Linked DNA regions of Drosophila melanogaster. The protein of the gene in region 2 purifies or fractionates together with the protein of the main gene of each other region. This does not show direct contact. Each region holds a gene or a part of one and is shown on either strand. Other genes may lie near its edges. The genes, in order: msk and fl(2)d.

Region 1 (7,855 bases), on a different chromosome or scaffold from region 2:
CTGCAGGTAATTGGAGGCCTCATGGTTGCCGCCAATGAATATGGTCAGCACTGGTGCTACCAGCTCGCCACTGTAGTATCTTTAAAAATAAATGGATTACCTCCTGATCCACAAGCTGTCGAAACTCTACTCACTTGTAAAAGGAGCACATATCCAGGTACTTCTTTGGTACAGCCATCGTCTGCAAATCCTCCAGATTCCGGGTGGACTGAAAATCGCCACAGCACAATAACAAGTCGATCTTGGTGCCGCCAACCTTTTCGATGCCCTCTATGGTGTCGTATATTCGTTCCAGCTCGCCATGTGCACATCCTTCGACAGCTATTTTCATGGTTAATAAAGGTAAGTTACTACTTTATAAATAAAACTTGGTTGTAAACAAATGCAACCGGTTGTCCAAACAAATAACGCGTTCTGATATCGCTTATCGATCGGCAATTCAGTGTGAGAAAACGTCTTTGGGGAACGACAGGATGGACGCTCTTATCGATAACTCTACTTAATGACCGCCAATATTTAAACTGCTGAAATCTTCCGGAAACAAAGTCTTTCAGCACTTAGCATTATTAAATATAATTATATATATTAGATGTACTTATAAAATTCGTTCCCTGAACGGTTTAAATACCTCACAAAAAGGTACACAAATAAGAAAAAGATTTCTCCAGTTCAAACGTTAAAAATTTTTTTTTTTTATTTTTCAAAAATATCGCTTCATTTAGTACAGAATATACGTGTATGTGTGTATAAAGAAAATGTATGTGAAATGCTCTGCGTTGAATTCTCATTCTCTGACCTAGATGCCAACTTTTTTTTGGAGTTCTACGGGGGCGTGCTGGTGGGCACAATCTCATTTAATGAGACCTTCTCGTCCTGACGTGTTTGTTTTTCGTTTCGTTTCGTTTCGTTTACATACAAAGATTTACAATGGACTTAAGTTATCATAATTTAGTTGGCCGCCCTGGCCACAAAATAGGAAATAAAATATAAATCTACAATAAATATAGTGCGGTCTCGTCGCCGCTCGACCGATCGATTTTTTAATCTGATTAATCGACCGATTGTCGCAGCATACATGGGTACACGGAGTGTACGAAAACCAAGAGAATGCCTTCAAAGCCATCATCAGCATGCCAGATGTATTTTGTTTGATGTTTTTGTTATTTTTGGAAAGAATATGAGAAACAATCAAGTCAGAAATCGAACCAAGTGTCTGGTGATCTGGTCAATTCAGTTTCTTAGGAGCCGAACTTAAACGACGTGGGCACGGCAGTCTGCGGAAAGGCGAAGCCACCTTGCTTCTCGATCAGCTTCGATTCCTTGGCGGCTTTGCGTTGGTCAGCCGTCACCACCACCTCTTGCAGCGCCTTGGCTTGCTCAGGTGTGAGGTTGGAGGTCAACAGCGCATACCAGGCTTGGTCTTGTGCAGAAAGTGCTGATGGCGAAGATTAGGTTATTAGTTAGTTTTCCAATGGTGTACAAAATTCAGCACAACTTACCAGTAATAACTTCCTTAAACGTCCAGTACTCATCGATGGCGCTTTCGTTCTCCTCATCGTCGATGGGCGTGGTAAACGACTCCAGTCCAGTCTCGTTCAGATCACCCACAGACTCCTCGGCGTCACCGTCCGAGTCAGCATCGTCGTCCTTGATTTCGGCTTTCACTTCGAAGCCCGACTCATTGCCCTTGGTTTTGGCAAATTCGGCCAATTTATCCAGATAGTCCGGTGCCATTTCGTCCATGTCATCCTCGTCACTGGACAGAGCCTCCTCACAGTCGTCACCGTCCTCCTCCTCCTCATCTTCCTCTTCCTCCTGAGCACGAGACTCGTAGGCGCGTTTTAGACCATCGAAAAGCAAAATAAGTGCGGGCACAATCTTTCCAGCCACTTCGCTCAGAACCTGGGGCTTGGCTTCGCCCAGCGAGATGAGGGTGCACAGACCCAGGACGCAAAGTTTGCGATCGTGGATGCTGGAAAACGTAACAATAAACTATCTAGATCATTAAAAAGCATGTCCATTCTTACCCTAGGAAACAGTCCGTGTCGTGAAGCCACTGCTTGATAAAGTGCGCGCTGATAGAGTCGTTGTTTTGCTGGGACATTTTGTCCAGAATGGACAGCAGCAACTGGGGATTATAGTAGAGTGCCGCGATTACCACTTGCAGGCACATAGTGCGCAGCTCTGAGGATTGAACTTCACGTGTTAACCGGGACAGAGCCAGCTCCACGAACATATGTATCACTGAGTCGATTTGACCCTTGCACTGCAAGATAATCACTTCCATCAGTTTGGCGGCATGGCACTCGGGATCCTCGCCAGGGCTACTAGTAAGCATCTAAAATAAATTATAATTATTATAATTATTATTATAGTTATTCGAGGTTCAGACATATTTAATTATTAAGAATAGAAGCTTACCGTTTTGCACATGTCGAGAATCGCCAACAGCCTGTTGGGATTGGAGAGGAAAGCGGGCGTGTCGACCGTCACATAGTTATGCAGAGCAGGCATAATGTCGATAAAGTAGTCAATACCGTCCTTCTTGAACACCTGATAGATGAGCTCCAGCATCTGCCACATTTCGGGGGAAATGGCCTTGGCTGTCAGGTCGTAGACCAGGGAGAAGGTTTCCTCATAGAAGTCTGAAGAGATGACCAGATATTTTTATAAACGATATCAACGATTGAGGGCACAGCCAACTAACCAGTTATGTTGTGCTGGAAAATGTGTCCGACAACATTAATGACGATCGGGTGCAAGTTAAGCAGGACATCAGGATGCTCTTCCATCACACTGAGCAGAGTTTCGATAGTGTTAAGCAGACTCATGGCCGTGATGGCCTTCTCGTCGGATCCCTCCTCAGATTCTAGGACCTGGCTGAAGGTGGTGGCCAGGTGCTGGCAGATCTCGGTGGCCACGGGCAGCAATTGCTCGGTGAAGGTGCACACGATCTTTTGCATAACGTTTGTTAGATCTTCGTTCTCCGTCTCTCGAATGATGGTAAGCAGCTCCTTGGTGATCTCCTTGATCTGTGCCTCCACGTATTGCGGCGCCTCGTCCTGGGACGATATGAACATCTGCAGACCGATAGCTGCCTCCACTTTGACGGGCAGCTCCTTGTCGGTAAGCAAGGCGTTTGTGGTCAGACGCATTATCTCGGCCAGCACTTGGGGATTCTTGATTTGAACGTCACAGAAATAGTGCAGCACCCAGCACGCGCGCGCTCTCATGTGGCCCGCGGGATTTTGGAATTCTGGGAAGACGTAGGTGGTCAGCATGGACTCCACTTGGTCGCGGTACGAAGCCTTCTTCAGCAGTACGTCCGCCAGCGTTCCAATCATGTGCAAGGCACCATCTTTCTGTTTGTTGTCCGCATTCGGCGATGTAATTATCTGCATAATTGTGGCCATTGCCTTGGGCAAAATGCCCTTGCGCTTTTTGCACATAGAATGCAGCAGAGATTGGGCTGCCGGTACAGGTGTGGCATAATCCTCAAAGATATCTATTGGAATCGGTTAGTAATGTAGTTCAAGTCATTTAAAAAGTTCTCTTACCGAACTTAAGGCGAATGTACTCGTAGGGATCGCTTTCCCAGAGCTCCTGATCGGAGTCAGTAAACGACATGATGGGAAAGATCACGTCCTGGATGACAGCCACCATGTGAGGCTTAATCAGCTTCCAGGTGTAGGCGTGGCTAACCCTGCAAACGGAATAAATAACATTTAAAAAAACGAGTCAACTGATTGGAATCGACTTTTGTAACTGCAATTATAAACACTACATCTTATCAGCTTTAAAAATTTTCAGACTTTCTATCAAAGATTAGGTATCTCCTAATTAAGTAACATCGATTTTACATTCCAACTATATATCAAATGTCACATGAGAATTTATAGAATACTAAATTACTTACGCATTCTTCAGATAGTTGAGCACATCAGTGAGGACGCGTGGTGAGACGTAGACTCTGTTTCGGTACTGGTCGAGGATCTTGAGGAGCACCTCCAGCACGCCCTGGCTAAACGTGGGCAGATACCACTCTGCGAATTTTTGGTATTTTTCACTAACCACATTGCTGGGACTGCCATAACTAAATTTATACATACAACGTTAGTTATCTAGACTATGACTATAGATACTGCCGTCAACGTACCGCTCGAACATGCGAACCATGATGTGCAGGGCCCACTTCTTAGTCTTCCAGTAGGGGAACTCCGTTCGCTCATCATCGTCCAGGTGCGAGCTATCGGGCACTGCGCGATCAGCCACCTGACGACAGATCTCCATCCACTGCGAGAAGATCTCCTTGGTAATGAGGTCCAGTGGAAGGGTGTATTGCGTGAGGGCATAGTAGATCTTGAGAATTTGCTTTTGTAGCAGCACAGATTGCTCGGACTGCTCTGCCAGCAGTCGGACCATCAGCTGGTAGATCATGGGCAACAGTAGGTTCATTGCCTCGTTTAGCGGCGTCCTCTCCTCATGCCGCTTGTACTCGTAGGTCTTGACCAGCTGGTACATGGTTACCAGAGCTCCGTTCCAGCCGTTGACATCCTGGTTTTGCAGATATATGCTGATGCTATCCACCACCTGTGGCCAGCGTCCAGGGAAATCGCTTTTAATGATGTGATTGACGCAGACAGACAACTGGACCCTGTGTACAGAACGAAATTAGCCCCCTGGAAAGGATTTTCAATGGATTTACCCACCTAATCAACTCGGGGGCGTGCACAATAGCATCTACAATAGCGCCACGGATCATAGCCCGATCCTGTTCGTGTATAGAGAAGGGTATTGGCTCTCCAGGCTTGGCCTCGTGGTCCGACCAGCTGCTGTTGATCAGATTCTTGAGGTAGACAGCACCGGCCTGGCGCACCGGCTGTTCCACCGTCGTCTGCATAACGATCTGCAGTATGGTGGGCACAAATCCGATGATTTTGTGTATCTGTGGGGATTTTAATGTATAGAAATAAAATAGAATGGATATGTTTACACAGCTGTTTGGGGTTGGGTTAAATTTGAATTGGTCAAAGAATCAATGGCAGAAGCACTTTAAATTCCGTTCACAGAGCTCAATTAATATGGAGGAGCCAAGAACAACTGCTGGCCATAAGCGCTGATAAAGTTAATTGACAACAGGGGGGTTGGTGGGAGGCGATTGGGAGGGGCATGCAAATCGTTAGATGCTGACTCAGTCGTAATGAGCATGCCTCTACAGTGGGGCCAAAGCAATTGGTTAGTGGGGTGGGGTCTAATTAGACTGGCCGCTCTGATTGCCCACATTTATTTCCAAGGGAATTGCGTAAGCTTCAATCAAAGGGCATTCCGGCGATATTTCGAAAGTCTCAATTAAATATTTATTAACAATTCAGTGGATTTCCGAAGAATCACACGAAACTCGCAATAAATATGTACACATATAGAAATATATATAGCATACATACATATGTAGGTGCCCCAAAGATATCGACTTGTTGCCTCTGGGGCAACAACATAGAAGTCGGGATAATGGTAAACACATAAAGGGCAAACTTTTTGACCGATATCGGATTACACTATCCACACCCACACACTTGTACAACGACCAGAGTGATGAAGTGCGGGAGCGAGGGAGGTTAAAAGCGAACAATTAAAAAAGCACATGGTTTTCAGGCGATGGCGCCACCTCCAAAGACCTTTCGAATTCAAGTGCAGGCGTTTATTTTTGGGAGCAAACTCACCTGGGCCAGTTGATCCTCGGCCGCCTTGCGCTGTTCCGGATTCGGATCAATAGTTGCGCGCAACAGTTCCGTGAGTTTTTGTGCCTCCATTTTTGCTACTTTTGCTTGATTCTATGTTTCGCCGGTCTTTCTGCTGCACTTCGTCGTTTGGCGGTCACCTTGTGCCCACTGTGCACCCGCTGTTCTTGCCTTTATATAGACCTTGGTTTATGCTAGCCGAACCAGTGGCTCCAATGTGTGGGCCAAATTGCAAATCTCTTTTTCCGGAGGAAAAAACGTGGAAAAGACTCCACACACGCACACACACACCGCCGAAATTCGCGAGACGAACGAAGCTTAGAAGAAGAAGAAACAGCGCCTGTGTGTGTTGACTAACGCCGCAGTGTATGGGGCCCTACAGGGCTGCATTATGTTCGCCGGTAACAGTTTAGCCAAAAATTCGAGCAATATTGAAAAGCCTTCGCTGCGGAAAATCTAGGCACCATTTATATATAGACCACTTGCTTCATAAGGTAACTATATTTAAAGGCTTAAAAAACAGCGACTTTTCACAATTCCCGATAAATTGCCATTCAAGTTGCATGGCCAATCGATTGTTGCAGCCCTGGCAGCTGCTCGTACGTGAACACGCGAATGTGTGTGTGACGAAGAGCAAAGTGACACATAGTTGGAGGTGTGGTTGAAAATATATAGAAATCTGGGTTTATCTGCAACTGAAACGAAGGGAAATTTGTGTTAAAGGCGAGCGAAGATCGCAACTGAAGAGCTTTAACTGGCAGCAAGGCAAAAGGACGAGCAGCGACCATGGCAGGCAGGCTACCGGCATGCGTAATCGATGTGGGCACCGGGTGAGTTTTTAGTTTCGATTGCCCGTGGGGGTCTCCAATTGGACGGAAAGGAGGTCGACTGACTAACACTCTGCTTGTCTGCACATCCATCAGCTACTCCAAACTGGGATTTGCCGGGAATAAAGAGCCGCAGTTCATTATTCCCTCGGCGATTGCCATCAAGGAGTCGGCACGAGTGGGAGACACCAACACACGGCGCATCACAAAGGGCATCGAGGACCTGGACTTCTTCATCGGCGATGAGGCCTTCGATGCCACCGGCTACTCCATCAAGGTATGCTCTTGTATCTATGGTCATTAAGCAACCGACATCACATTTATCATTGCATTCCAATAGTATCCGGTGCGTCATGGTCTGGTGGAGGACTGGGACTTGATGGAGCGCTTTCTGGAGCAGTGCGTCTTTAAGTATCTGCGCGCCGAGCCTGAGGATCACTACTTCCTGCTGACTGAGCCGCCGCTAAATACGCCCGAAAATCGGGAGTACACCGCGGAGATAATGTTTGAGACGTTCAACGTTCCTGGTCTGTATATCGCCGTCCAGGCGGTGCTTGCCCTAGCCGCCAGTTGGGCCTCCCGGTCCGCAGAGGAGCGTACCCTTACAGGCATCGTGGTGGACAGCGGCGATGGAGTGACGCACGTCATACCCGTGGTAAGTAGCACAGATCTTATCTTATCAGCAGAGTTGGGTTGGCACTGGATTCGGTAAAAACTGTTTGAAAAGAGAACCCAAAACCGAAACAGTCGACGGATTTATTTAATAAATAAATAGCACATTCTGAGGCTATTATTAATACTACAGAATGTTATATTAAGAGGGAATTATTAAGATAAAATAGCGTATTAGTTATAACCATATAAATATATTAAGCTGTTTTTCATTTCTAGGCCGAGGGCTATGTGATCGGCTCCTGCATCAAGCACATTCCCATCGCGGGCCGCAATATCACCTCGTTCATCCAGAGCCTGCTACGCGAACGGGAGGTGGGCATTCCGCCGGAACAGAGCCTCGAGACTGCTAAAGCGATCAAGGAGAAGCACTGCTACATCTGTCCCGATATCGCCAAAGAATTTGCCAAGTACGACACGGAGCCGGGCAAGTGGATACGCAACTTTAGCGGCGTTAACACGGTAACCAAGGCGCCGTTCAATGTGGACGTGGGCTACGAGCGATTCCTGGGACCCGAGATCTTCTTCCATCCCGAGTTCTCAAACCCCGACTTTACCATTCCACTGTCGGAAATAGTGGATAATGTCATCCAAAACTGCCCAATCGATGTGCGGCGT
Region 2 (7,237 bases):
CTACACTTAAACCATTGACTAGTTGAAATTTACCATAACAAACTATCGTACATCTAGACAAACAAACTCTCAGCCGAAAGGATATCTCCTCCGATCGGAACAGAACTCGCTAAGCTTTAGACACCCCACATTTCCCCATGGTAGTGTAATCAACTTGTGCCATTCGAACTGCCTAGTATTTGTTATTAACTATTTAATATGGAATCGGAAGTACGTTTAACCCCCTTGCAGGTTGTCTCACCACATCCCTACTCATTTTGTACATTTCGATTGAAAGTAGGGTAAAGCAAATATCAAACTATGCCAAGCTTGCAGGCCTCTTTACCAGAACATTTTAGCCCGATCTCAAGTTTAAACTCTTCTCACAGACACAAACGAAACAAAGGATACAAACACACTCGCTGGCAGCCACAATTGTACTACATACATAAACATATTTCGAATTCAATCAAATACAAGTAAAACCATTTGTCTAATGTGCTAAAAGAAGAAACTGATAATAAACACAAGATAATTTCGAAAATCAAAACGATTGTTTTGCTGGGCGGCAATTGAAATTAAAGGACACTGGTTTTTTGAAATATTTGTTATGCTTAACAATTTATTTTAACACAAGTTTATATTATTTTACACAACTTTCATAGTATTACAAAAATGCCTTAAGTTGATAATTAAAACCTAATTTTGCTAAATGACAAGTTTTGTTTTGACCAAGCTTTCTTTTCAGCTTTTCAGTAGATGCCGTGGTTAAAAAACATAAATAGTGTATCAGTTTTTAGCATTATCATTTAGCTCGATCGTATTATTGTAAATATATGTGCTGAAGTTTTACACTGTTCTACATAATGCATTTCGTATGTAAAGCAGTGACTTCTAAATAATTTGCGAATTATGTATGTCTACGCCGCATGCAAACGAAATAATAAACGTATTTTACAAGACAATGTGTAAAAAAAATTAAAGAATCTAAAAGATAGGTTAGAAATATAAAATGAAGTCTCTCTCTGTTTTGAAATCTCAATTCACAAAAGTAAACGTCAGGAATTAACGATCAATTTGACGAACTCATATGGAGTGCACCCTTTTTTGGAAAAAGGTTCGCCAGCGCTTAGGTGGAGTAGTCGACTGCTCCGCTGCCGTTCTGCTGCATGCGGACGGACCGACGACGGGTCAGGATGCGGCCCGGTGCCGCCGGAGCACCTGGATCGCCGCCCTCAACTGGGACACCCACTTGCACTCCCGTTTCCGGGATTATTCCCGTATTGCTGTTATTAACAGCCGCAGCGGCGGCAGCAGCCTCTTCGCTCGCCATTCCGGCCACAGCGTTGTCCACGATCATGGGGACGGCCACTGGTGTTGTCACTGGCTGATGATCCTCCTCCAGCTGGGAGTTGCGACGCGTGGTAATGCCTCGCAGCTTGGACTTTTTGGGCGGCAGAGTACGTGGGGCGGTAACTTCCCTGATGGGCGGCGCTTCCTGGACGTTATTTCCTACTGGGGTGGGAGTCGGCACCACCACTACCGTTGGAAGGGCTTCCTCCTCTTGGTAGTTTCGTTTGCGGGCTAATCGCGCTGCATTTCCGTTCATATTGCTGCCATCATCCGACAGTGGTATCTGTGGCACGGCCGCGATCTGTTCGTTGTTGGTATTCCCATTGTAACAATCCGGATTCGTTGGGTTATTCGCCATGCAAGCGTCCTCGTGAATGGTCTCTAGCTTATTTATCGTCGTGTTGGTGCCACCGTTGGTGGCAGCCGCTGGAGCCACAACCTCATCCTTGATGGCCTGTTTCAACTGGGCGTTCTCCTTCTCAAGCGTTTGTATGCGATCGCGTGTGGTCTTTAGTTCTTGCTGCAAAAACAGAATGGTGCTCTGCATGCCCTCCACATCCTCGTCCAGCTCCTGCAGGAAGTCGTCCAACTCTAAATGGTAAAGGAGTTTACATATCTATAAGTTTCGATCCCAATCCTAGTTCAGATTTAACCTACCCGACTGCGATTTCTTGACCTCTTCGCTGAAGCTCTTCTGCATGGCCAGTTCGGTCTCCAGCTTGGCCAGTCTGCCGTTGGAGGTCATCTTGCCCAGCTCCTCGTTCTCCTGATAGAGCAGTCGGCACTTGGCCATTAGGCGTTTGCCGGTATTAGAGTCCGGCGTGAACTTCCATGCGGACAGCTCGTTCTGGGTCTCCTCCAGCTTGGCCTTGGTGGCCTTAAGTTCCTTCTTGAGCCGCTCGAACAGGAGATTGACCGCAGGATCGAGCAGAGCAGTGCGCAATGCGAGGGCAGTTGGCGCCTGTTGGGCCTTGTACTCGGCAATTTGGCTCTAATGGGGATTACGGGTGCATTAGTATTTGAGAAATTTGTGTATATTAAGGCGAGTACCCACCACATAGTCCTGGAATTCTTGCTCCTTGTTGGCCAGCCGTCGCATGAGGATCTTCTCGCGTCGCTGGGCGTCCGCGCATTGCTGAGCCATGCGGACCTGTTCCAGCTTGAGATTCTCGATCTCATCTGCGAATCGAAGGATAAGGATTAGCTAATAATGGGGTCTAGATAACGGGCGTTCCAAGCTGAGAGAGCCACTGTCTTTTTTTTTTTTTTTTGGTTCGCACACGAGATATAACAATATCGTACTATATATACATAGATATTTTACAAGTTCTTAATGGGCAAGGCAAAGTGTTTGTTTTTTTAGGTGGAACTTAATACGAAATCATACCAATGCGTTGCAATCATTCGTGTAAGTTCGTGACATGGTCGGTGGAAAAGGCCGCATCCCGTCGTCAATCTCTGGCTGATAATGATATTGATTTAGATTTTGATTCGATGCGAGTGTCACAACTTGAACCACTTGAACTTGGACAACACGATATCGATTTCGGTATCGAATTCGCTTGCGGTTTGGATTTCGATTTCGATTGCTTCGTTATCTCTGGCATTATCATTGGCACTTGAATAACTTGAACACCTGCCATTATTTGCATTTTGATTTCTTGCTTTTGCTTATGCATTTGCATTTGCATCGAACTTGATTGGCGATTGAATTTGAATCTTCGCGGCATTTTCGAACTTGCATACACTGTGGAAAACAACGATGACTGATTGGTATACATATTTTTTGTGGCAAAACTGAAAATATTTTTGAAAAACACTTGCAAAAAACTCGACGCACACACAATGGGCTTTCGGAAGCTTTTTCGTATGCCTATGCATGGATGTATGTATGCATGGATTTCAAAAGCTTTTCCCCTTCTCTTTTTTGCGGCATTTTCGAACACTCTTTTGTCATACAAAAAGTTTATTGACTTTGCATTTTTTGTTGGATTTGTTGTGCAAACACGTACATATATAACTTCGCTTTTGTATTTACTTAGCCAAGCAATTATTTTATATTTATATATACTATTTGATCGGGGCAAACAAATGTGTGCATGTGCGTGTGTCCCACATTGCATGTTAATTGATTGATTGGCGGCCAATTAAGCGTTTAAAAATCAATTAAGTAAGCTTAACAATTGTGAATATACACACTCACACACAAACGCACACATGTTCGCCGTATTTTGGCGCCATTTATTTAAACATTTGTATTTGTTTGAACACACGAGGCAATGTTTTTTTCATTTGACGTTCACTTCTTTAACACAATTTCAACAGAAAAAGAATTTCAACTTTATTTTCTCTTTGGTTATGCACTGTCACATTTTCAATTGATTATTTAATATTATTATTTATATTTAGGCGCGACGAAAAGAGCGTGAGGGGCGCGAAGAGAGAGAATAAGATGGGTCCAGGGGGTGGGGCAGGGGACGCAGACACGTTGGCTCTCTTCTTCTCCTCTCCACTTCTCTGCTGCTGTGCTTCTTCTTCTTCTTCAACGGGCACGTAGGCAAACGAAAAGTGGTCGCAAAACGAAAACTGTACACCGCAAAAACGACGGAAAACGAGGAAAATCTCCGATTAGGATTCTCTACTATTATTACTTGATATGCTCTATTCATTTGATGTTATTATCAGCCCGGTTTTCTCATTAAGATTATATAAAATCTTAAACTTTACTTCGTTAACCTTATCTTCTTATGATTCATTTTATAATTTTTTATTTTAAGTACGATTGCTTTCAATATTAAAGCTTAGCTCAGCTTACTGGTTATAATTGGTTACGATTCTCATATATTATTTATGATTATTTAACTCATATTTTATATTTTAGATAGTTCTGTTGCACAACACTTTGTAATCACTTGATAACTTTAGGCGTCAGTTGCCTTTTAACTTAGTTCATATTTAGGTATTATAGATTATTATATGCATGGTCCTTTTTGAAAGCACTTTCACTACATTCGACGGTTTGCTCGAGGTGGTGTTGAAAAAAATAAATAAATAAAGTTAACCAAAACGCCGCTGAAAGAATGTTCGTTGCAAAGAGTGTTCGCTTCGATTCGATTCACATAATATATACGTTGAGTTCTTTACCGAGTGTTTTTCATAAACAAATTCAAATGACACAAGAAACCCAAGTGGAGTGGGGGCAGAAATAAACTAAAAGACTACGTTTACTTGTTGTTTATATATTGCATTATTTATACAATTTACACAGAGTCAACACTTTGGATCGTGGTTTTTTCCTTTTCTTTTTTTTTTTGTCGGTATTCGAAACGAGTATGTATGTAGTATATAGGGGGTATTATATAGATCAGATAGATCTCTGATCATATAGCAGTGTACCAAAATGTGCAAAATACCTTCGAGCAAGCGCTGTCGCTGTTCGGCGGCTGCAACAGCCTCTGCAACAGCTGCTGCATGTTGCTGCTGCTGCTGTTGTTGCTGCTGCTGCAAGTGTTGCTGTTGCTGCTGCTGCTGCTGCTGCTCCTGATGGTGATGATGGTGCGGATGCGGATGGTGATGATGATGGTGGTCCTCCAAGCCGGAGGGCGTTGGGGAGGCGGGGCCGCCAGTGGCCCCACTGTTTTGGCTGCTGTTTAGGATATTTAGGTTTTGCTCGTATTTGGTCGGGGGCATTTTGTCGTAACTGTTCATACAGGGTCTTTGATCGTCCATAGTCATTGCAGCGACACTCATTATTTGGATATTAAAACGCTGTGCTTGTTACTCTTGCTGTTGTTGTTGTTGTTGTTGCGGGTCCTTTGCTGGCGTTGTTGCTGTTGCTTTTCATAGGGGCCGCTCGCTCGCTCTCACACACGCACGCAAACACACACACACACAGGCGCTCTCACCTCCTCCAATACCACACGCACACACAGGCAAGCTATCGCTCACACCAATGGCGACGCGTATGGCGAACGTTTTGCAAAACGTTGATTTCGCGTACTTTTCGCGCTTGCTCAAAGCTTAATTAATGATTTATATCTTTATTGTCCTTTAATTCACACTTTTCATATGTTTTGGGTCGGTTGGGCTCACTTTTACGGCGATATTTTTTAATTTTTCTGCGCTGCGAGCTGATTTCTCGTTTGCTGCTGTTAACTGTTGTTCGCAATCCAACATGGCGTCGCTGAAAAATACCAGATTTGCCATCGACACAAATGCAGACCTGGGGTGCGTGGCTCGGATATGGGGTAGCGGAGACTCAACCCAGTTCCGTTCACACTGCCACAAATTTTGCCAAATAATTATTAGATAACAAATTTATTTAACTTCTAAATTGCACTGATAATTCCTTCCTTACGTCTACCGCCATAGCTTTGCATCCAATACTAACGATATTTACATAGTTAGAAATAATTAGGAACAATCAAATACAAGTGAGAAAGTTGTATCTTACGTTACTGTTTATTTTTTTGTAAGATTTATTTAGGGGTCACACTGGTGGACTGTTTTGGATATTGTTTTTATATTCAAAACGCAAAAACATGGCAGAAACCACTGGTGTGCAAATAAAACTGGAACAGCAAAACATCAAGGAGCGCCTGAATCTGCACGTCAAGCGGCGCCTGCAGCAGGATGCGGATAATCCCGCCGAGAGTCCCGAATTGCTGCCCACCGATGCGAATGCCAAGCGCAGCAAGACGAAAGATGTCTCAAAACCAAGAAAACCCTACCAAAAACGGACAGAAAAACCGAAAACAGAGGCGACCAAGTGCAAGAAAGGTATTTAAGTTGATTAAGCAATAGATTCCCCCAAATACATTGTTATTTTGCAGTTGGACAATTGGGCAGTCCGGCGGGTGAAGTGGATCCAATGGATGACCAGGAGACGGAAGGCTTTTCCCCGGAGGCGCCGGATGGCAAATCCGCCAGACGGGATTGCTGCAAAAATGCCGACATCCTCAACATAGTTTTGAACGCTAAGAAACGTAGTTTAATGCAGGATCCTGAAGTTCAGGCCTTCTGGACCGAAATAACCAATTGCATAAAGGGCTGAAAGCTTAACTGATCATAAGGGTCATTAGATCATAAGGAAATATTGTTGATGTTCGGGATATTTGTTATATGAACAACATTAAATATCTAATATTAGGGCTGTTGTACAAATATGTAAATAAAATAAAATAAGTGTTAATCCAAAAATTGTTCTATTATTCTAAATAGTTTCTAAATTTGTTTAAGAACTGGAAAAAAGCTACAAAACAAGTGCATACATTTGATCTATATAATGTGAAGAAGTAGTTAACATTATATAATATTTCAGTACAGATTTATAGCAGAGCAAAGCCGGCAGTTTTTCGGATTGATATCTTCAGTTCCAACCCTATTAACATAATGACATGAACCGACATTGCAAAAAAAATATATTTGTTTTAGCTATAAACAATCTGATAACAATATTGAAAGCAATAATACTCATTTGAAATTGAAATTTCTAGCTACAATGCTTTAAAATTAAGCAGTACTTTTTAAAAAATTTTCATTTTGTAGAAGCCAAGCAAAAATATTATGAAATTTATAACATAACATTGTTTTGAAAATGTTTTTTAGTATCTATAAAAATCCAATCCTCAATCGGTAATTTCTAAATTTTGAGAGAGAAGTAGTAAGCCTAGAAGTTTTAAAATACTTTTTTAAACTTATAGCAGACTAAAAATAAATTGAATTTATGACATAACATTATTATAAAAAATTTATTTGGATACTGTAGATATCCAATCATTCGGTAAATTTAAAAATTTGAAAAAAAATATATAAGCAAGAAGTATTGAAGTTAGATGTTTGAAAATACTTAAAACTTATCGCAGAATATAAAATAGAGATTTGCCAGGGTTGTTCAGTGCGCAAT

The links.
Region 1: the proteins of fl(2)d (region 2) and msk purify together in Drosophila melanogaster (affinity purification with mass spectrometry, with the first as the bait; one study listed by BioGRID). This does not show direct contact.

The regions. Positions count from the first base shown.
Region 1 is NT_037436.4:8,114,395-8,122,249, reverse strand, and holds msk (moleskin), read right to left. Parts: upstream 6,072-7,855; 5' UTR 5,811-6,071; coding exon 5,721-5,810; intron 4,946-5,720; coding exon 4,710-4,945; intron 4,655-4,709; coding exon 4,157-4,654; intron 4,094-4,156; coding exon 3,917-4,093; intron 3,704-3,916; coding exon 3,558-3,703; intron 3,506-3,557; coding exon 2,708-3,505; intron 2,646-2,707; coding exon 2,422-2,645; intron 2,339-2,421; coding exon 2,028-2,338; intron 1,973-2,027; coding exon 1,500-1,972; intron 1,436-1,499; coding exon 1,239-1,435; 3' UTR 671-1,238; downstream 1-670. Other genes in the region: ldbr (lariat debranching enzyme), read right to left, coding at 1-79, 135-331; Arp3 (Actin-related protein 3), read left to right, coding at 6,525-6,568, 6,662-6,842, 6,906-7,220, 7,457-7,855.
Region 2 is NT_033778.4:13,819,047-13,826,283, forward strand, and holds fl(2)d (female lethal d), read right to left. Parts: upstream 5,508-7,237; 5' UTR 5,083-5,507; coding exon 4,746-5,082; intron 3,130-4,745; exon of another isoform or gene 2,720-3,129; intron 2,512-2,719; coding exon 2,387-2,511; intron 2,324-2,386; coding exon 1,990-2,323; intron 1,924-1,989; coding exon 1,109-1,923; 3' UTR 578-1,108; downstream 1-577. Other genes in the region: CG13339 (uncharacterized protein), read left to right, coding at 5,874-6,111, 6,165-6,385. UniProt on the Drosophila melanogaster protein: Associated component of the WMM complex, a complex that mediates N6-methyladenosine (m6A) methylation of mRNAs, a modification that plays a role in the efficiency of mRNA splicing and is required for sex determination.